Diceros bicornis minor: one gene and its partner. The protein of the gene in region 1 interacts with the protein of each later gene in a pairwise test. Links are inferred from orthologs where the notes say so. Each region holds a gene or a part of one and is shown on either strand. Other genes may lie near its edges.

What was found.
Region 2: the proteins of AP2B1 (region 1) and SLC25A6 interact in binary tests that used the Homo sapiens proteins (3 or more experiments, as listed by UniProt). The link is inferred for Diceros bicornis minor from reciprocal best matches to the Homo sapiens genes AP2B1 and SLC25A6.

What each region holds. Positions count from the first base shown.
Region 1 is NC_080757.1:24,118,908-24,130,251, forward strand, and holds the start of AP2B1 (AP-2 complex subunit beta), read left to right. Parts: upstream 1-6,905; 5' UTR 6,906-6,996; intron 6,997-7,410; exon of another isoform or gene 7,411-7,572; intron 7,573-11,344. Other genes in the region: PEX12 (peroxisome assembly protein 12), read right to left, coding at 1-333, 656-781. UniProt on the Homo sapiens protein: Component of the adaptor protein complex 2 (AP-2). Adaptor protein complexes function in protein transport via transport vesicles in different membrane traffic pathways.
Region 2 is NC_080781.1:1,083,006-1,092,589, reverse strand, and holds SLC25A6 (ADP/ATP translocase 3), read left to right. Parts: upstream 1-4,946; 5' UTR 4,947-5,034; coding exon 5,035-5,145; intron 5,146-6,162; coding exon 6,163-6,649; intron 6,650-7,342; coding exon 7,343-7,483; intron 7,484-8,016; coding exon 8,017-8,174; 3' UTR 8,175-8,480; downstream 8,481-9,584. UniProt on the Homo sapiens protein: ADP:ATP antiporter that mediates import of ADP into the mitochondrial matrix for ATP synthesis, and export of ATP out to fuel the cell.

The DNA of each region.
Region 1 (11,344 bases):
TTTCCAGCGGAAAGAAGGGGGATGGATAGAATATTCATCCTCTTCTCTCAGGCTAGAAACCAGTTTCTCCAGCTTCACTTTCAGGTAGGGAAGAAGAACCAGGAACATAATTGACTTCCAAAGCTGCTTCTTTGGGAGACCAGCACTGGCCAGTCTCTGAAGCTTGTGTGTATCTCCCATTACAATCCGCTTTAAGCCATAAAAGTTTTCAGAAAATGAGGCACTGGTTTTAGACAGATAATGCTGCTGAAGCAGAAGATCTAGCAGGGTAAAGATTTCATCAAACCACCTCCAAAGGAAGCCATAGCGGGCAGGGTTTGATTCTGCAAGAACCTAAAGCAAAATAAATCAGTAAGTGAAATTCATTCCATTACAAAGCTACTATGCCTTGTATTTATATTTCCTTTTTTTCCTCTAAATTCTACACTTTGGGCTTAAACAAGTCACTTCTTTTGGGGTCTCCTGTAACCACCCTGAAGTGCTGGGTAGTCAGTTTAGGGCTCTAGACATAACAGGGACTCAATAACAGTTAAATCATAGGATATGAATTATATGCTAATTGGTTATTTCAAAAGTTAGACTACCAAATAAACTCAAATTTTTGGTTTTGTTTTTACCCAATCGTCCCTAAGACTTTTCAGAGAATTAATCTTACCTTGACCACATGCTGAAGAGCAGGTCTCACTGCTGTCATTAAACTGTCTTGTGCTACCACCTCAAAGATGGATGGCTGGTCATCCGCCACAGAAGCAGTTGTGATGTGAGCCCCATGCTCAGCCATAGTTTCCTGTGTGCACTTGGTTTCACTTTGCCCACCAATTCTATAGTAAGCATGAACTTTCCTGGGGGTATTAAATGGGTTCTCAGTCTTAAAAGTAAGATTTCTGCAGGATACCCGGAATTCCTAACTCAATTTTCCGGAACTGGCGGGGGGAAAGACCTCTTCTGGAGGCAGAGGGGAGGGGTCTCAAATTTAGGAAGTTAAGAGCGAAGTTAACGCAGACGTGGGTGCAAGAGGTGTGGATGTGTGGGATGACTCGTCAAATGCTGCACCTCACAGTGCAGAGCGTGACTATGGGGGACAGGTTATGGGCAAAGGACGCCGTCCTCTCGAGCTGCAGTCCTGGAGGCTGCTGCGAATCAGCGACTCGCAATCGTGAGGGCTCAAAACGAAGCGGGCTCTGAGGCCGGAGGTGCCAGTGCGGGCCTGTACGCGAGGACTGGCTCCAGCTGCTGGCTGTCAAGTGCCCCCGCCCGCGCCCGTCCTTGGGCGCTGACTCCCGGAGAGGCGCGAAGGACCCACGACGCCACAGTTGACTGGATCGCTGTGTGACAGAAGCCGCACCGGGAAATACAAGCTGCCGGGGTTTAGCGACGGCAGGCGGAGAGGCGCTCTAGCCCCGAACGCGGCCCCGAAACCGGAACTAGAAAACTCTATGACCCTCCCAGGACTTCCGCTTCCGCCCCGCTGAAATTAAAGGCGGCACTTGGGTGCTCGTGTGGAGAGGGTGTGTCCGCTCGGTTGTTCTACTTTCATTGTTTTGCATCGCAGCCTGGGTGGAAAGCCACAGCTGTGAATCCGTCTCTGCGGAGGCTTTTTTGACAAGGTGTTTGGGGCACCGCGCCGACGTGTGGCACCTAGAGCAAGAGCTCGGGCCGGCGGCTGAGGCCTTCGTTTCCGGGGGCGAGCGAGTAAGGGGCGGAGGGACAAAAAGGAATAGGCAGATGCGAAGTCTCTCTCTGTAGGGGGGAGAGGGATTGATTTATGGTCAGCCACTTCCGGGAAGGCTTTGAAGCGACGTAGCTGGGGATGAAAGTCTTAGCATTATTGCCGCCAACTATAAAGAAAGATTAGAATGGGAAAGGTTCCCGCTGTTCCTCAAAACTTGAGATAATCACTTTTCATTCAAGCCGGTGGTTTAACTGTCTTCTAGGTTTCGTTACATTCAAGCATAACTAGGCACTTGTTACAGTAGATGTAAATGGTTCTTACCCTCGTACACGGTAGGATGTGTCACATTAGTGATATGAATACAGTGCTAAGACAAGGGATCCTAGTGAACTGGGGAGACTTGACAGAGAAGGTACTTTTCATTGTTTGCATACCAAAGTTCGTGTAGTTTATCTTACAGTTAGCAAAGTGCTTTTACATCGTTTGCAACTTTGCCGCGTTTGAGTTGCTGATACAGTTTTATTGAATTTGTATAAGCGTTCAAGTTCAACTTCTGTCTCTCTGCAACCCCTCCCCGACCCCTGAGCTCAACAGCTAGAAATAGAAGGTATTATTCACTGCCCTAGAGAACGTTATGGTATAAAGGCAGATAATTGGTTTGCATGAGAACCCTCGAAAAATACGATTTGGGTTTAGTTATTTCAATAGGACAGAAAATCTTGCAAGTTAACAATAATTATAGTTCTAAAAAGTGTTTTTTCCTCTACCAAAATACCTTCCGGAGAAAAATCACACTGAAATAAGATTTTTACTTTACAGAATTTTAAGGACTAGAGTTAATGTATCTACATAAAGCAGCTGGTACATACTAGGTGCCCAATCAATGGTAGCTATTATATACAGCTTTTTCTTAAGTGAACAGCAGAAAGACAAAGTTGAGAAATAGCATCAATCAGAACAAGTGGGGAGGGCCAGCCGGGTGGCGCAAGTGGTTAAGTGCGTGCGCTCTCCTGCGGTGGCCTGGGGTTCCCCAGTTCGGATCCCATCGCAAACCCACACACGGCCTGGCAAGCCATGCTGTGAGGGCATCCCATATAAAGTGGAGGAAGAGGTGCACCCATGTTAGCCCAGGGCCAGTCTTCCTCAGCAAGAAAAGGAGGAGAGTTGGCAGATGTTAGCACAGGGCTGATCTTTCTCACACAAATAAATAAATAAAATGAAAGAAGTAGGGAATTAAACATTTGTATCAATTAGGGTTCTTTGGTTACAAGCAACAGAAACAGGCTAATTTAAAGTAAAAAATTTATTAGAAGTATATGGAGTAGCTAACAAAAGGAAAGCCAGCTCTGAAAGAACAGGAACGTCTCTAGCAAGCATTGGCAAACTCTCATCCAGGCAACATACAATGAATGAGCTGCAACAAATTTCTGTCTGTCACTGTACTTATGATTCAAATTCCTATTGACCTACCTTGGTTCAGATTTCCTCTCCACTGTTTCACTTAGCCAGAAGAGAAGGCAAGACACCTTGATTAATAGTCCTTTGAGAATGCTCCAAAAGTAAACTGAAGTTATTACATGAGAAAAAGGAAAGGCAGTCAAAAATAACATGTCAATTATTACAGCCAACAAATAATAAACACCTCATTACAAATCCCACCTTCAGGCTTATAGTGTAATAGATGAAATAAGACACATAAAAAATGATAGCACTTATTTATGTTAAAAGGGTTAAGAGCCATCAGATAGGTTAATATGATATGAATTTAGAGGAAGAGAGAACAACCAGCTGGGAGAAATAAGGCCATTCAGACTAGCTTAAACAGAATCATTTTAGCTTAGGTAACCAAACAAAAGGAAGAACGTTTCTTTTTTTTTTTTTTTTGTGAGGAAGATCAGCCCTGAGCTGACATCCATGCCAATCCTCTTTTTGCTGAGGAAGACCGGCCCTGAGCTAACATCTATTGCCAATCTTCCTCTCTTTTTTTTCCCCCCCCTTTTCTCCCCAAAGCCTCAGTAGATAGTTGTATGTCACAGTTGCACATCCCCCTAGTTGCCGTACGTGGGATGCAGCCTCAGCATGGCCAGACAAGCGGTGCGTCGGTGCACACCCGGGATCCGAACCTAGGCCGCCAGTAGCGGAGCGCATGCACTTAACCGCTAAGCCACAGGGCTGGCCCCAGAAATAATGTTTCTAACCTCTTATTTTATCTCAGCTTCTGTCTGCCAGTTGCTTTCTAATACAGTGATGTAACCTGGTACTTCCTGTACCTCATATAACAGATGGCCACTGAGAAAGTTTTGTGCATTAGGTGGACCTCAAAAGATGAGTACATTTGGGGCAAGTCACAGTAATGGTGATAGAGCTTTCCAAGCTAAGGGAGCAGGATGGAGTATATATAAGGAGGAAATTGTTTAGTTTGCTTTAACCATAGAGCCACAGAAAGGAATAGTAGAGAACATGTTGAAAAGTAGATTTAGGTGAATTACAGAGGGTCCTAAATGCTAATTTTAGTACTTTGTGGACATTCATTAATTTATTCAATAAATATGGAGTACCTCCTATGTGCCAGGCATTATGTTACGTGCTGGGTATAAAATAGTAATAAAAAGAGATGCGGTATCTGCCCTCATGGAATTTACGTTCTAGTTGGGGAGGGAAATAACAAGTAAGTAAACTAATAAATACATAATTTACAAATTGAATAAGAGGGCTGGGATGGGGGTGGCAGAGGGAGCTGGAAGAACAGAACCTTAGGTAATCAGGGAGTGCCTTTCTGAAGAGATTACACTGAAACTGAGACCTAAATTATGGGGAGCTAGCCATGTGAGGCGCTGGGGGAAAAGCATATTAGGCAGGAGGAGCAGTATTTGTGAAGGCCTTGAGATGGGACAGAGCGTGGCATTATTTGAGGGCTACAATAGCTAGCAAAAGGTGAAATGAGGAGGAAATGAGGTGTGACTGAAAGGCATAAAATGATGTTAGAGAGGAAGACGGGGGCCAAACTCATAGGGACTCATAGGCTGTGGGATGGAGACTTTATTTTAGTCCAAGTGCGATGGGAAGCCATGAAAGGATTTATACACCAGAGTCATGATTAGGTTTGTACTCTGAAGATGACCCTGTAATGGATATATAGTTATGTTTATTTTGTGAAAATTCATCAAGCTTTATATTTATGATGTGTGCCCTTTTTTTTTTGAATGTTATACTTCAAAAAAAGTTAAAAACCCAGCTTCACTATGGATAAAGGTTGGGAGGAGAGTTGAGGTTTCTAGTAGTTCAGGCAAGAGGTGATGGTGGCTTGGACTAATGAGGTGGAATAAAGGGGATTGGATGAATTTGAGATATTTTGAAGGTTGGGTTGACAACTTGGAGATGGATTGGATGTGGCATTAAGGGAGAGAGGGAAATCAAGAATATCCATCAGGTTTCTGGCTTGAGCAATTCAGTATAATTTATTGAAACAATCATAGAAAATATTTACATAGTCCATACTATGTGCAGGCATAGTTCTAAGTGCATTACATAGACTAATTAATTTCATCCTTGTAATAATATTATGATTGAATATTACTATTTTTCCCATTCTATAGATGACAAAACTAAAGAAAAGAGTACAGAGATGGGGAAAACAGGGGGAAGAATAGGATTTGGATATATTAGGCAACAAGGAGCAGTTGAAAGTTTTTGAACAGGAGAGAAGTATGAATCGAAGTTCTTTAAGATTTTTCTGGTGGCATCTTTACGAAGTCCACCTCTATCTGCTGGGAGTTGTACCTGAAAGCCAGTCTTTCAAACATCCCCCCCATCCCCTTATGAGATGCTTAATGTGAGTGGGACATAAATATAGAATTACCCATCAGTGTGGTTAGCAATTTGGTGGTGAAGTTTGGGGAATAGGTTAAGGCTAGCAATAGAGATTTCAGTCATATGGGTAGATAAGATAATTGAACCCATGGTATTTCTAAAGGAATAATGTAAAGACAATGTATGAGTATCAAACTTAAAAAAAAAAATCCTTGCTACTGTCTTCCTCAAATACCATCCTATATCTCTTCTGTTTTCAGCCATACTTTTTTACGGAGTTATCTGTAACTCCTGTTTTCATTTCCTCACCTCCTATTCATCCTTAAATTTCAGCGTGGCTTTTGCCTTCATATCTTTACCGATGTTCTCAGCATTGACATCAAAGACCTTTGTGTTGCTAAATCCTCGGACACTTTTCAGACCTTCTTTCTTCTCTCTGTAGCAACTGATACTGTTGACCACTCATTCATACGTTTATTCATTCAACAAATTGTGGGGAGGGGTGCTAGACCTCAGAGATAGAAGAGGGAACAGATTGGTATAGTTCCTACTTTCATGGAACTCTAAAAACATCGTAAAATATTATAACCGTCTGCTTTTCCTTCTACCTCTCTGACTGCTCCTTCTCAGTCCCCTTGGCATTTTGGTTTCCTCAGCTTCTGCCTCAGGCTCTCTCACTCCACTTTCTTTTTTTTCTTAATTAAATACTTGGTATTTTTCAGAGCAGTTTTAGGTTCACAGCAAAATTGAGAGGAAGGTAACAGATTTCTAGGTCTTGGTTTCTGAAATGAACCTACGTTTGTGTAAACACACCGATTACATGCTAGGCGCTTTACCTACTTTACTACTTTATCCCATTTAAGCTTCACAAGCTGGAGAGAGATATAGCATTGGCTTAATTTCACAGATAAGAAGACTAAAGTTGGAGGGACATTAAGTAACTTTCCCAGTCACATTCAGGGCAGGGATTGGAACTCGATCTAATGCCATCCTAACCTCTTTTCCTTGCACCACTCTCCTCTAGTCCCACTGCCAGTGTGTAGTCCTGGGCTGGATCAGCATTGCCCACACTACTTAAGTGGCCAGGGAAATGAGCTGTTTTTTTTAAAGAAAGGAACAGGATATTTCACCCTCTCTGAGTGTAAGTTTTTTAGAGAACTGTGCGAGGAAAAAAAATCCAGGGAACGTCAGCTTGTGTAATATATCCCTTCGGATAGCCACTGAACTTTCTCTGAGACCCGAGTCGCAGGTCTCTTTCCGACCAAGCAAAAAAAATCTTTCCGCCTGCAAGGCGACAGAGACCACCGCCGTTGTGTTCTCCCGCGCGCCGGGATGACGTCACGCGGCGAGGTTCTCTGACATCAGAGTTTCCTGTCCACCATCTTTGTCCCTGGCAAAGTGGCTTTTGCGCAGTGGCTTAGACCTGGAGGAGTCGTGACGTGCAGGAAACCATTACAACACCACTCGGGCCGTGCTCCCTGGCTGCTGCCGCCACCGCCCGGTCCTTGCCTCCGGTGAGTTTAAGGCGGCTAACTTTGGGGTGTGTCCTGCATTGATGGAGATGGGGGTAATCCCAGCTTGGGTTGGAGACGGGCGGAGGAAAGGAAGTCCTCGGAGCATAACCGTTGAGGATGGAGTGAGCCGTCGGGTGTGACCGTTGGGAGGGAGAGGGTTAGAGAAAGGGACTCTACTGCTCTGGCAGGGCGAGGGAATCCTCGGGTGTGGCAGCTGGAAATTGGAGGGCGCCGGGGGGGGAAAATGTGTTTCAAGTCGGGGTAGGCGGGCCAGAGGCCACGGGTGTGGCCGGTAGAAGCTGGAGGCCGATGGGAGAACCTTCCTTCTTTCCCACTTGGCGTCGTTCACTGAGGGGCTGGGACGTGTCCAGCTAATAAAAGGGAACAGGGATTCCCCCAAAGGTTTGCCCATTAATGAGCAAACCTCGCCCGTCTCCCGTGATTTGAGGTTAAGAGACACCTCTCCTCTACCTCGTAATGGAGGACCACATCCCCAGAATCTTGACCACCTGGGGAAAGAAGAGGCATTCCTGACACTTGGGGGAAGGGAAGAGAAACCTCCAGAATTGACCCGATGTAAGAGATGGGGAAGCAAGTGGGGGTAAATCTTAGCCCGGAATTTTTTCTTTCTGGGCTTAGCAGGAATGATCTGGTTTGAGAAAGGCTGTAGATTAAGCCAGAGGTAAAGAAACTGGAACTTCCTGTTATTTCCCTGTTCTTTGAATCCAAAGAATTTATTCATGCTGTTGGTTTTCAGAGCAGTGTTCTGTTTGGGGGGCAAGCTTTTACTGAACTCACTTGGCTGCTTCATTATGAAGCTATATGAATAAAGTGTGGATGCTTCATTAAACTTAGACTTCTAAAAAGAAGTTTTTTAAAAAATGCCAAACACTATCGTAATCATTGTGGTTTAAAAGAAAAAGTAAAGAAAACGCAATATGTTTAGAAAAGGCAGAATGACAAAAGAAGATGGTCTCAGTGAGGAAAATTTAAATTATTAATTACCTCCCTAGTATACTTCTATTGCTTAGCCTCAGGGTACATTTACAAAGTAATAATAGCAGCAGATGAAGGAGATGCAGCTGTACAAGAAAACGTGTAACACATTCCAATGATGACTAAGCGTGGTGGTAAGGTGAGAACTGTTTGCAGGTATCTTAAGTTAAACTCCCAAGAAAGCAGAAAGGATAATGTGTTCTGCAAACGGCCTCACTGAAAGTTAAGTGGTAAAATTAATATAAGACTAACATTCTGTGAACTAAGAGACTCAAGAAAGTCCATACTTCCATCTTTTCTTTTTTTCTTAAACAGAATATTACATTTTTCTTAAACAAAATACTCCATTTTAGGCATAGATTTGAACCAAGCTGAACAAGGAATGAGTTAGATAGGACATGTTCTCCTTTCTTCCTTCTTTCCTTCCTTTCAGGCTTAAGTTTTCCAGAGTTGATTGGTATTTTAGTTAAGAATTGGATCTAAAACTTGAGCTTCTTTCTTACTGTATAATATTAACAAATTGCTTTGTAGTCTGTCCTAGTTAAATGGAAATCACAGGTGTCCGTTGTACTTTCTTATGAGCTAAATGATACCTGAAGATGCTATTGTCTTTGCATTATTAAAATATTGGATTAGCATCTCTCCCCCTTGTAATAAAGGATTGGGGGAATGACCTTTCTGTTTTATAATTTGGTTAACTCTTTCGCTAGTTTTTCACTACGAGCACCAAACTCTGTAAAGCCCAACTTTATGTGAAAAGAAGGCATTTAGTGGCCTCACCAACTCTAATTTAGCCGCCATTTCCCAGAGAACCATTTGAAATTAAAACCCTATTAATTTTTTTCCAGCTTTATTTTGTTTAGTGGGACTGGAAGGAGGGAGGAATAGAAGGAGAGAAGGGACTTGCACAACCTATATTTAGTAGAAAGTAGGTTATGTTAAATCTAGATATATAATCCTGTGCAGGAGGCCTTCTCTGAAATGCAGTGGCATCACACTATGGTTTAGGACAAGTGAGAGTGATTGTTCGCTTTGACTGTGGCAGCTTTGTTGTTCAGCAGTGTCGCTAGGCCATACCACAAGTCCTCAGAACAGCCAGTGACTTGTCTAGTTTGATCTGGTAGAAAGGTAGTTTGAGTTCAAACTCCATGATAGCTTTGCTTTTTCCTGGGGTTCTCCTGGAGGCACAATCCCTCCGCCCCCCAGAAGAGCTTGATTTTTGCGACACTTCAGCAAATACTTGATTTTTTTCTTGAGCTCTATCTTGGCTTTTTCTTTGGCTTCTAATGCAGGCAACAGTTTTCACTGTCCTATATTTTGGAGACTCTGGCTGTGTCTATCTCTGGCATGTGATTAAGTATATCACATTTTAAAAATCTATACATATGTAATTTTTTGAGGTGAAATTCATATAACATAAAATTAACCATTTTATTTTATTTTATTTGTGAGGAAGATCAGCCCAGAGCTAACATCCATGCCAATCCTCTTTTTGCTGAGGAAGACTGGGCTAACATCTGTGCCTATCTTCCTCCACTTTAAATGGGACGCCGCGGGGCCCGGCCCAGTGGCTTAGCAGTTAAGTGCACGCTCTCCGTTGCTGGCGGCCCGGGTTCGGATCCCGGGCGCGCTTCGGATCCGGGGCGCGCACAGAGGCACCACTTGTCAGGCCATGCTGTGGCGGAGCCCCATTTACAGTGGAGGAAGATGGGCATAGATGTTAGCCCAGGGCCCGTCTTCCTCAGGAAAAAGAGGAGGATTGGCATGGATGTTAGCTCAGGGCTGATCTTCCTCACAAATAAACAAAACAAATGGGACTCCGCCACAGCGTGACCTGACAAGCGGTGCCTCCATGCGCGTCAGGGATCCGAACCCTGGCCGCCTGCAGCGGAGCGCACGCACTTTACCGCTACGCCACGTGGCCGGCACCCAAAATTACCCAGTTTAAAGTGAACAATTCAGTGGCATTTAGTATGTTCACAGTGTTGGGCAACCACCACCCCTCCACCACCTCTTCTCATTTTTTTTTGTTTAGACTGTTTTCATTTTTCTGGGAGTTTCTTTTGGCTTAAGGCAGGAACTGACTTGATACAATGTTTCTCTGCCAATATGGGTAAGGGATATTTCATTAGTATTGTTTACAGCAGTGTGAGTTGAGTGTAATGTTTCTCCCTTCTCTTTAAGAGCAGGGATTTTTAATTTAGGATCTAAGATTACTTGATTCTCTCCTCTTCCCTGAAATTTTGTGGGTGGGAACGTTACTCTCTTTAAATTAAGAACACTTAATGCTCACACTGAATAGGATGCAAATATATTCCTTGACAATGAAATTTTTTAGGGGAAGTAATAAAATGTGTGGGTCACTACTAAAGGTAGTGATAGGTTAATTTAATGTTTAACAGATTGTCTTGAAAACTCCTGTTAAGAATTTAATATGTGTGTATGTGTATGAGAGCTTTGGAAAAAAGAACAATTTTTATGCTCCTTTTCAAAGCAACTGGGTGAAAAATTCCATGCAGATTTTATTTTTTAATCTCAAGCAAGTTGTAAGTTTTGATGATCCCGTAGGACTTAGAATGGCATAATAACATTCTAGACAGACCATAATGGCCTTGAGCTCTGGCCCCACTGTCTGGCTCTAGTAACCGTTTCTGAGGACTGGTTTTTTGTTTGTATATCTAGGTTCTTAGATGATAACTTCATGTTTATTCCAGGTCTTTTTTTGTGAGATCAGCCCTATGCTAACATCTGCCAATCCTCCTCTTTTTTTGCTGGGGAACACTGGCCCTGGGCTAACATCCGTGCTCATCTTCCTCCACTTTATTATGGGATGCTGCCACAGCATGGCTTGCCAAGCAGTGCGTCGGTGCGCGCCTGGCATCCGAACCGGCGAACCCCGGGCTGCCGCAGTGGAGCGTGCGCACTTAACCGCTTGCGCCACCGGGCTGGCCCCTATTCCAGGTCTTTTATGTGAAGGGCTCCTTTCTTCGGTTTTCCCATTTCACATTTAGTTTACATTGTGAATGGATTAAATGATTATAACATTCTTTGAATTTTTGCTAGCGAGGGATTTTGCATAAAGCAAGCCTCTGTTGCAGGTTAATTTTTAGTTATAACAAATATTATCAAAACAGAAATTTCTGCATTCTCTAATGGTATTTGTGAGTTCTAGCTCCCATCTTTTAACAAGGTAGTTCAATGAAATTCTGGTACAACCTAAAGCACTATTGTATAAGGATCAGGACTGAAATAGTAAGTAGGTGCTTGGAAAGATAGGAAATGGGTCTAATTTCCCTTAGATTGTCCAAGTAGCACATTTTAGAGATCGGATTTGAGCCAAGCTTTTTTCATT
Region 2 (9,584 bases), on another chromosome or scaffold:
CACGGTAGCCGTGAGTCTCGGGGACAGACCCCACCAGAGCAGGTGTCAGAGGTGAGAGGACGCGTCTAGAAGCCCCCAGAGAGACGGGAAGGCTGGGCGACAGGGCGGGCAGCGTGGACCCTCACCCCTGCCTCCCCGCCTCCCGCCAGACGCTTCTGCCCACCTCTCACGCTGGCAGCTCACGTGGGATCCGGGCGAGACGGCTGTTCACCGCAAACGTCCCCAGCGTACCAGTGGAGACGCAGGTCTGTCTCACGATTCAGCAACTTACCTGCTTTGTTAAAGGAGCAAGCTTGTGCAGGTAACTCTGTATATTAGGTCATAGGAAGTATGCAGCAACTTACAGGTTATTTACAAACACAATTATTATTAGAAAACATTATTGTCAGAACTATGATTTCTAAAGTAAATTCTGTACAAAGGAAATTATTAGGAAAAAACACCCGACTGTCAGATGGGGGCAGCTAAGACCACCATAGGTTCTTAGACAGGTAGCTAACTTACAAATACACAGGCATTTATATAAATTTTCTCTGTGTAATACATTTTAAATAAATAGAACATATAAATGACCTATGTTTTATATATAAATGTGTAGGGATATATATTTGTAATTTACATACTATTATAATTGTAGAAATAGTATTATAAATTACACATTATAATTTACATATAATTTTACATATAGTTTTATAAGTACTATTATGATTTTTATACTATTACAAACTACATAATTATACTATAACACATATAATTTTGGATGGACTTCAAATTTTTTTTAAAAAGCACAAATGTGTCTCCCCGGGAGGCAGGACGTGCAGCATGGATCACGCAGGGGCTGAGCTGTCCGGTGTGGTGCCTGCAGCTCACCCGTGTGAGAGCAAAGCAGAGACGCTCACGGCCCCTCTGTCCTTGTCTCCCAGGTGGACCTGCAGAGCGAGTGGCCAGGAGAGCCGAGCGCCTCACCGGCCCCGCCCCGCCTCCCCGGGCTGGTGCACGGCTGCTGTGCTGGGTGACAATGACCCGGGCACCTTGGCCACCGCAGTCAGCCTCCTTCCTTTCCCGGGGGAACAGGCTGAGTCCTTCAGGTGCCCCTGTGGTCCCCGTGTTCAGCCAGGCTGAGCAGAAACCCGGGGCGTCCCCAGTGGGAACAGCGACTCAGGTCCAGGGCACATCGCACACCTGCTCTGCAGCCCTCGGGGTGCCCGGAGCTGTCTCAAGGTCACTGGGTTTCTCAGAAGCAACCAAGCGTCCGTCTCAAGGTCACCCGGTTTGTGCCTCTAACCAGAGGTGCCAGCTCCCCTGCCCGGGGCACCCGAGCCCCCCCAGCCCTGGATGCAGGGAGCCGGACGGGCTGGGGGCAGCGTGGCTGTGCAGTCAGCCCCGACCCCCGGACCCCAGGAGTGGCCGACCCTGAAGTCCCACACCCATGACTGTGCCCTTGAACCAAGGACCCACCCACCCGAGGGAGACCCCCGGGCCTGACAGTGAGGGCCTGATGACACGTGAAAGCCGACGGAGGGTCCGTGGGGTCCCCAGACCGCCCACTCCCCCTGTCTCTGCTGGACTTGCAAAGAAGTGAGAAAATATGAGTCCTCCACGACCCGTGTTTGCATTTATTAGAACTAACACCCAAAAACAGTGCTTTCAGGAGATGGTGGGAGAGAAAGTGAGTGTGTGTGTGGGCCCCCATACAGGTGTTTATTCTTTAGGAGACAAGATTTCAAGCTTGGAATTCTGGGCTGGGCAGCCTGACCGGACCCCCGCCCTCCAGGCAGAATTCATTCATTCCAAAAATATTTCAGCACACACTGCATACGGTACAGTCTAAATGCATTACTGGCTGCAACATCAGGGGTCGGGGATGGGGGAAGGAGCTAGGACAAGAGACCGTCAGGACCACACCCGTGTCCACAGCGCCCCGGCCCCTCCCCTGTCCCCGTGGGTCCTCATCTTTCGCCCTCCCGGTGCAGCCTCATGACACCCCACTAGACCACGTCACACAACGCAGGACTGGAAGGAACTGCCTGTCGACTAGGACAGACTCCCCGGGCCCAGCTCACAGCACGTACCCCCCAAATCCCTCCTCACCTCGATGACTCACCCCCAGGGGTCAGCTGAAACCCTGAATCACCTCCCCCGTTTCTTTCAATCACCCACCCCCTTCTCAGATGCTCTGGGGTGCAGATTCAATCAGATCACCTGCTGGCCCAGCCACAGCTCATCTCTCACTCCGTCCGAGCGCCACCGAGGGCTGGGTCTTGTCTCCTCGCTGCTGGGTCTTGGAACTTAAACCCTTGGAGGAGACGCTCCCCACCTCCGCTTCCCACTCACCCCACCTCTCCCTTTCCAGGCCCAGGTGCACAGTCTACCTGGGCTCTCCCCTCCCAGGTATACGGAGATCTCGGATTCCGGCGTGCACAGCCCCGCCACCCTCCCAAATCAGCCCTAGTGGGGCAGGGGAGCCATGACTCGCGCGCGCACGAGTTGCCCACGGGCAACACTTTCTACAGAACACATTCTGAGCCCCAGTCAGCGATAACAGGAAGAGACCACGTTCATTCATTCACTCATTCACTTGTTCATTCGAGAAGCATTCCCCCAGCACCGTCCTGAGGCCAGGCACAGGCGGCCAGGGACCCCCGGGCGCTCAGAGGAACCAACACACATCATACTGGGCTGAGCGGTGGGGTGGCAGCCAGGAATGCAGGCGGAGCTCGGGGAGGGGACGTCCCCACGCCTGGGGCAGGGGAGCGGGTCACTGAGTTAACGGCCCCCCCAGCACGGGAGGAATGTTCCAGTGTCCCATGACACAGGCTCTGAGACAGAAACACTGGTTCCAGGGCCTCACCCGCAGCCCCGGCCTGAGCAGATGCCAACCAGCTGGATCCTGAAGGAGCAGCTTCAGCTGGCTGGCCCCCGCTAGCCCCGTGACAAGCCTCGCCAGGGTCCCTCCCCATCACTGGGGTCCCTCCCGGCCCAGCGAGCTGATCCCGGCAACAAATGAACAAGAGGAGATGCTTTTCTCCTCTGAGACACGGACCCCTGAGCAGACATCTCGTCCCCCCACACCCCACGGCCGCCCTCTGTCCTCCACTCCAGAGCCCCATGGGGGCTGCGGGCGTGGACCTCCAGGGACTTTCTCTGCCCCTCTGTCCCGGTGAAGCCTCAAGAACATGCCAGAACCTCCAAGGCCCTTCCAACAGCAATGCCCCCAGGGCCAAGACGCTGACACTCCTCCCTCCCCCACAGCTAGACCACCCTCTGCACCTGGGCAGCCCCAGGCACTGCCCGTCCCCTGCTTCTCCCTGGAGGTCAAGACCGGACTCAGGAAGCCATGGTCAAGGACACGGGAGACTGGGGAAATCACCGGCTCCCAGTGCCCAAGGCTCTTCTGGGTGCTTCCCAGGCCTCCACCCACCCGTGAACCCATTGCCAGGGGGGTTTTACCTGCTGGTGGGGACGCAGGAGACCAAAAAGAAGCAAAGGGGGCAGGGAGAAAAATGAGAAAGGGAGGGAAGAAGACAGAGACAAACAGCGGGAGAAAAGAAACGGGATTCTGGCTCCCCGGTTGCTACTGAAGAGCTATTTGGTGCTCCTTACACCGTGTTCAGTTCGCGACGGTTACGACCTGTATCACTTAGTTACAATTCACTAAAAAGTCTGCAACATTTCAAAACACCTCGGCCTCGGGAGCGTCCCTGTGCATGTCTGTGTGTGCACGAGCATGTGTGCAAATGCATGTGTGTACACGCGTGCATGAACTTGTGTGCACGTGTGAGGGTGTGTATACGTGTGCATGAAGTGTGCATGTGCGCGGGAGTGAGCGTGCGCACGCGTGGCGTGTATGCACGAGCATAAGCGTGAGTGCATGCGTGTGAGTGTGAGCATGTGCCGGGCAGCACACGCCCTCCTGCCCCTCCCGGAGCCCCCACGTCGCAGCGCCCGGAGCGCCACCCGGAGTCCCGCCATGGGGTCAGGGTTCCGGGGCCCCCGCGGGAGCTGGGGTGGTCCCGGGGGGCTCGCGCAGGCCCCGCGGACGGATAGGAAGAGGGGCCGGGGTCTCCCGGGCAGGGGGCGAGCACGGCCTGGAGAGCCGGGCCGCGGGGGCACGTCTCGGGGGGAGCGAGTGTAGGGGGTAGGAGCGCCCTGGGGGTCGAGGGTCCGGGGGAGGGGGGCTCGGCCCCCTGCTCTGGCCCTGCGGGTCACGGCCGGGGTCCGGGGGTCAGCGGGGCGAACGCGGAGGTCACGACCACGGCTCGGGGGTCCGCGGAGCAAGCCCGGGGGGTCACGGCCGGGATCCGGGCTCAGCGGGGCGAAACCGGAGGTCACGGCCAGGGCTCGGGGGTCGGCGGGGCCAGCCCGGGGGTCACGGCCGAGGTCCGGGGGTCAGCGGGGCGAAACCAGAGGTCACGGCCAGGGCTCGGGGGTCGGCGGGGCCAGCCCGGGGGGTCACGGCCGGGATCCGAGATCAGCGGGGCGAAACCGGAAGTCACGGCCAGGGCTCGGGGGTTCGCGGGGCCAGCCCGGGGGTCACGGCCGAGGTCCGGGGGTCTGCGAGGCGAGCCCGGTGGTCCGCCGGCCTCCCCTACCCACCGCCGCCGTCTGTCGCCCTCGCGCGGGCCCGGCTTGACCTTGACAAGGTCACGGCGTCCGCCAAGCCCCCGACCCACAGGGCGCATGGGCGGGGCCCGGCTCCCGACATGCCTCGCGGCGCGGAGCGCGGAAGAGGCGGGGCGTAGTCGGCGCCACAGCCAATGGGCACGGCGCGCGGGTGTGCGGGGCGGGGCGCGGCGCGGCTCCCGGCAGCCTGCGGGGGCGCGGGATCCGGGAAGGGGAGGGGCGTCGGCGCGCGGCGCAGCCAATGGGCGCGGCGGGCGGGGGCGGGGGCGGGGCGTCGGCACCTTAGCGGCTGCGCGCTGGCCGCCCCGTCCTTTCGGTCCCGGCGGCGGCAGGGCTGAGCCAGCGGCGGCTACCCACGGCTCTCCGCGTCCCCGTCCGCTCTCCGCCCGCTGCGCCGCGCGCCCCGCCACCATGACGGAACAGGCCCTCTCCTTCGCCAAGGACTTCCTGGCCGGAGGCATCGCCGCCGCCATCTCCAAGACGGCGGTGGCCCCGATCGAGCGGGTCAAGCTGCTGCTGCAGGTGCGGGCGGCCTGCGGACGCGGGGGCCAGGGCCTGGGCGCGGCGGAAGCCGGCCGGGCCGGCCACGGGCACCGCTCCGGCGGGCGGCCGGGCACCGGAAGTGGGGCGCCGCGCCGCTTTGTCCGCGCGCCTCCGGCTTCCGGGGGCGGGCCGGGCGCGCGTCACGTGGGCGCTGCCGCATGGGCGGGGGTGGAGCCGCGGGCGCGCACGCGCTCTCCGCGTCGTGGACGCCTGCGCGTGCGCTTGGAGTCTGGCGTGCCGGGATGCTGCGGCGCTGGCCGAAGGGCGCATGCGCGCCTGCTGGCCGCGTGGACAGACTCTTTGGTGTGGGGGGGGCGGTGCCTTGGGCGCGCCACGGGGTTCCTGCTAACGCCCTTTGGCGTTGGACGTCGGTTCTTGCTCCCCCTTTTATACTCCGTGTTCTGAACCAGAATAAACTATCATTGTGTGTTGTTACAAATGTTGCAAGCTGCTGGAAATGTATCGTTCTGGTGGCAGCATTTGTTGCCTTAGAAATGTATGGCTCTGATGGCAACATTGTTGCCTTAGAAAATGGATTGGTCTGATGGCAACAAGATGGATCGCTCTGATGGCATCATTGTTGCCTTACAAAATGGATCGCTCTGATGGCAACATTGTTGCCTTACAAATGGATCGTTCTGGTGGCAACATTGTTGCCTTAGAAATGGATCGTTTCTGGTGGCAACATTGTTGCCTTAGAAATGTATGGCTCTGATGGCAACATTGTTGCCTTACAAATGGATCGTTCTGGTGGCAACATTGTTACCTTAGAAAATGGTTTGCGCTGATAGCAACGATGTTGCCATGTCTGTTGGCAACACTGTTGCAGCGACAAACAGTTACCGAGTTAAAAGAACTGGTGTTTCCAGATGTGAGGTCTCTGGGCAATTCGAAGTCCGCATGCACGAGCTAGTCTTTGGAGCGGACATCTTCAGTGGGGGTCGTGGTGGGTGTTAGAGAAAGGCCCCCGTGTGACCCGCCCCCATCGCCCCTCAGGTGCAGCACGCCAGTAAGCAGATCGCGGCTGACAAGCAGTACAAGGGCATCGTGGACTGCATCGTGCGCATCCCCCGGGAGCAGGGCATCCTGTCCTTCTGGAGGGGCAACCTGGCCAACGTCATCCGCTACTTCCCCACGCAAGCCCTCAACTTCGCCTTCAAGGACAAGTACAAGCAGATCTTCCTGGGCGGCGTGGACAAGCACACTCAGTTCTGGAGGTATTTCGCCGGCAACCTGGCCTCTGGGGGGGCGGCCGGAGCCACCTCTCTCTGCTTCGTCTACCCCCTGGATTTCGCCCGGACCCGCCTGGCGGCCGACGTGGGGAAGTCGGCCACGGAGCGGGAGTTCAAAGGCCTGGGGGACTGTCTGGTGAAGATCACCAAGTCTGACGGCGTCCGGGGCCTGTACCAGGGCTTCAACGTCTCCGTGCAGGGCATCATCATCTACCGGGCCGCCTACTTTGGCGTGTACGACACGGCCAAGGGTAAGTGGGTTCTCCCGGGCTGCTGACACGGCGCCGCTGGCCGGGGGGGCTTCAGCAGCTGACACTCATGTTTTCCCCGTTCTGGAGGCTGGAGTCTGAGACCCAGACGTGGGCAGGGCTGGTTTCTCCTGAGGCCTCTCTCCTTGGCACGTAGACACCCGTTTTCTTTCTGTGTTTTCACGTGGTCGTCCCCCTGTGCATGTACATTGTTGATGTCTATATGTCTTAATTTTGCCTTCTTGTAAGGATGTGAGTCTTATTGAAATAAGGTTGTGCTATATCATTTCATTTTATCCTGATTATTTCTGTAGAAAATCCGGTATTCAGATACAGTTCTGTTCTGAGATCTTGGGGGTTGGCAATTCACTGTGATTTTTTGAGGGGGCACAGTTCACCTGTGAAAGTAAGCCCCCCCGTCAGTGAGGGCCCAGGCCTGCTGGCACCTCTACAGCAGAACGGCCTCAGGTGTGGCATGTCCACTGTCCGAGCCTCGTGCATCCGCTGCTCTGGAGAGGCCACTCCCAGGTGCTCTGCTGGCCCCTGGGCCAGTCCCACTGGAGCTTGCAGGCGGCTTCCCCCTGTAGCTGACCCCACTGTGACCTCTCCAATGTCGCCTGGTCCCGGGAGCTCCGTGTGGAGCCAGGGGGCGGCAGAGTGCAGCTGTGGGGCCTAATGCTGGTGGTGACCCTGCAGGCATGCTCCCCGACCCCAAGAATACCCACATCGTGGTGAGCTGGATGATCGCCCAGATGGTGACGGCTGTGGCGGGCGTGGTCTCCTACCCCTTCGACACCGTGCGGCGACGGATGATGATGCAATCGGGGCGCAAAGGAGGTATCTTCTCTCGGGGCTGGGAGGGGGCTGGGCAGCGGGAGGTCAGAGACGTTCTCGTAGGGCCTCGTGGCCTCAGCCTGTGGGATTCTGGGGCCATCGGATAAGGAGTTTCCCAAGGTGGCCTGGCTTAACAGGAGGCTCTGGTCGATGGCAGTGACCCATGTCCAGGCAACACTGGATCCGGTTCCAACAGCCTCTTTTCTGGCCTTGCCTGCAGACTTGTTCATGCCCGTGTCCTGGGTCTGCCTCCCTTAACTGTCTCTGGGGCGTCCACGGGCCCTGAGTGGACCAGGAGTTGGAGGTGGGGTTCTGTGGAGGAGTTCTGTGTGTTTCATCCCCACCCCCCAGCAGTAGGCCCAGTGGGGCTGTGAGCAGGGGCACTGGGCATCCAGAGCCTCCTTTCCCGCGGTTCTGACTCCAAGTTGCCCGGATGGTGGCATCCGAGGATTAGTCTCCCTACCGTGTCTTTCGTGGTTCGCCTCGTGCCCGTTTCCTGAGGAACCTCCCGCTGACCCACACCCCTCTCCCTGCAGCTGACATCATGTACAAGGGGACCGTCGACTGCTGGCGCAAGATCTTCAAGGACGAGGGCGGCAAGGCTTTCTTCAAGGGCGCCTGGTCCAACGTGCTCAGGGGCATGGGGGGCGCCTTCGTGCTGGTCCTGTACGACGAGCTGAAGAAGGTCATCTAGGCCTCGCCGCGCCGGACCCGGGACCAACCGCACCTCAGAATTCCTAACTGTTACGGACCATTGATCTTCGAGAAATTCCACTATCCTTGTCCCGGCCCGATCCCGCATAGGGGCCGGGGAAGGCTCTAGACAGGGTCCTTGTGATCGTGACCACTGGCGCCCGGATTCCATGTCTCGATTGCGGGGGGGAGGGGAATCATGCCGTCTTCGTGGGTCCACGGCCAGGCAGCTCGGAGACACGGCCATAGAGTCCAGGTAGGGCCCGCCTGTGTTTAAGTATTTATTTAAAAAGGAATCATGTTTCCCATTTGTACTTAAGCACTATCTTTTGCACAGCCGAGTATTTCCGATTACGTTCTGTGTTGGGCATTCCGCTGCAAAACAATAAAATCGGGGCACAGAGACCCTGTGTGGTGGTCTGTCTGAACCAAGCGGCCTCGTGGGGTTGGCGGCCCAAGGGGTCAGGGTGATCTCCAGCTGGGAAGCGGCAGGATTGAAACCGGGGCCCTGGCTGCCCGTCTGCAGCCTGGTCTGTCCCCCAGGCCGCCCGTGGATGGAAGAAGGGACAAACAGAAGCCAGGACCCTGGGGTCTCGGAGCTTCTCTGTGGGGAGGCTTGTTTGCTGACAGGCCTCTCCTTTCTGAAGTCCTCTTCTGCCCTGAGCTCCTGGGGTCTTCTCCATCCACCATTCGAGCATTAAGCCACCAAGGAGCCCCCAGGGGTGGCAGCTGCTGTGCGTCCGTGGCCCACGCCTGCCCTGGTCTCTCATGAGCATTCACTGCCCCGTGTGTATGCCTGCATGGGGGAGCCCGTTGCCCAGCCCCCAGGCAGCTCAGCATCCACCCCATGGAGCCGTCTCTGCACAAACACTTAGGTTCGGTGCAGGAAACAAAAAAAAACTGCAGTGTCCCCCGGGCTGAACTTGGATCCTGGTATCGTCTGCCTCTGGGCTGGGTGAACTGGGGTGGGAAGGCCGGCCCTGCTCTCCTGGGCGTCAGAAATCCTGGCCCAAGAAGGCAGATTTTGTTTTTTCTGATTCCAAAACCTCGGTACCTACAAACCTTCATGTCTGTGGAACAAGACGGTTACATTAGAGATGGAGAAATTGAAGCAAGCTTGGCCCAAGATCTGCTGGCTTCCATGGGGTAACAAGACAGGACAGGACTGTCCACCGTCACCCCCACAGGGGCCCTGCCCGCCTCCACGGAGGAACCTTGTCGGGGAGCCCCGGCGTTCAGGGTGGACTAGCTTTGAACCTGGACACCCTCCGTGTCCTCCCGGGAGCTGTGCCGGATTGAGAATGAGGACATGGCCTCACCCCGTTCCTTCTAGCCTGGTGGGGAATGGCCCATTCAGTTAGATAATTACGGCCCCGTTTAATTAGCACTTCGCTGGAATCCCGTCAGCCTA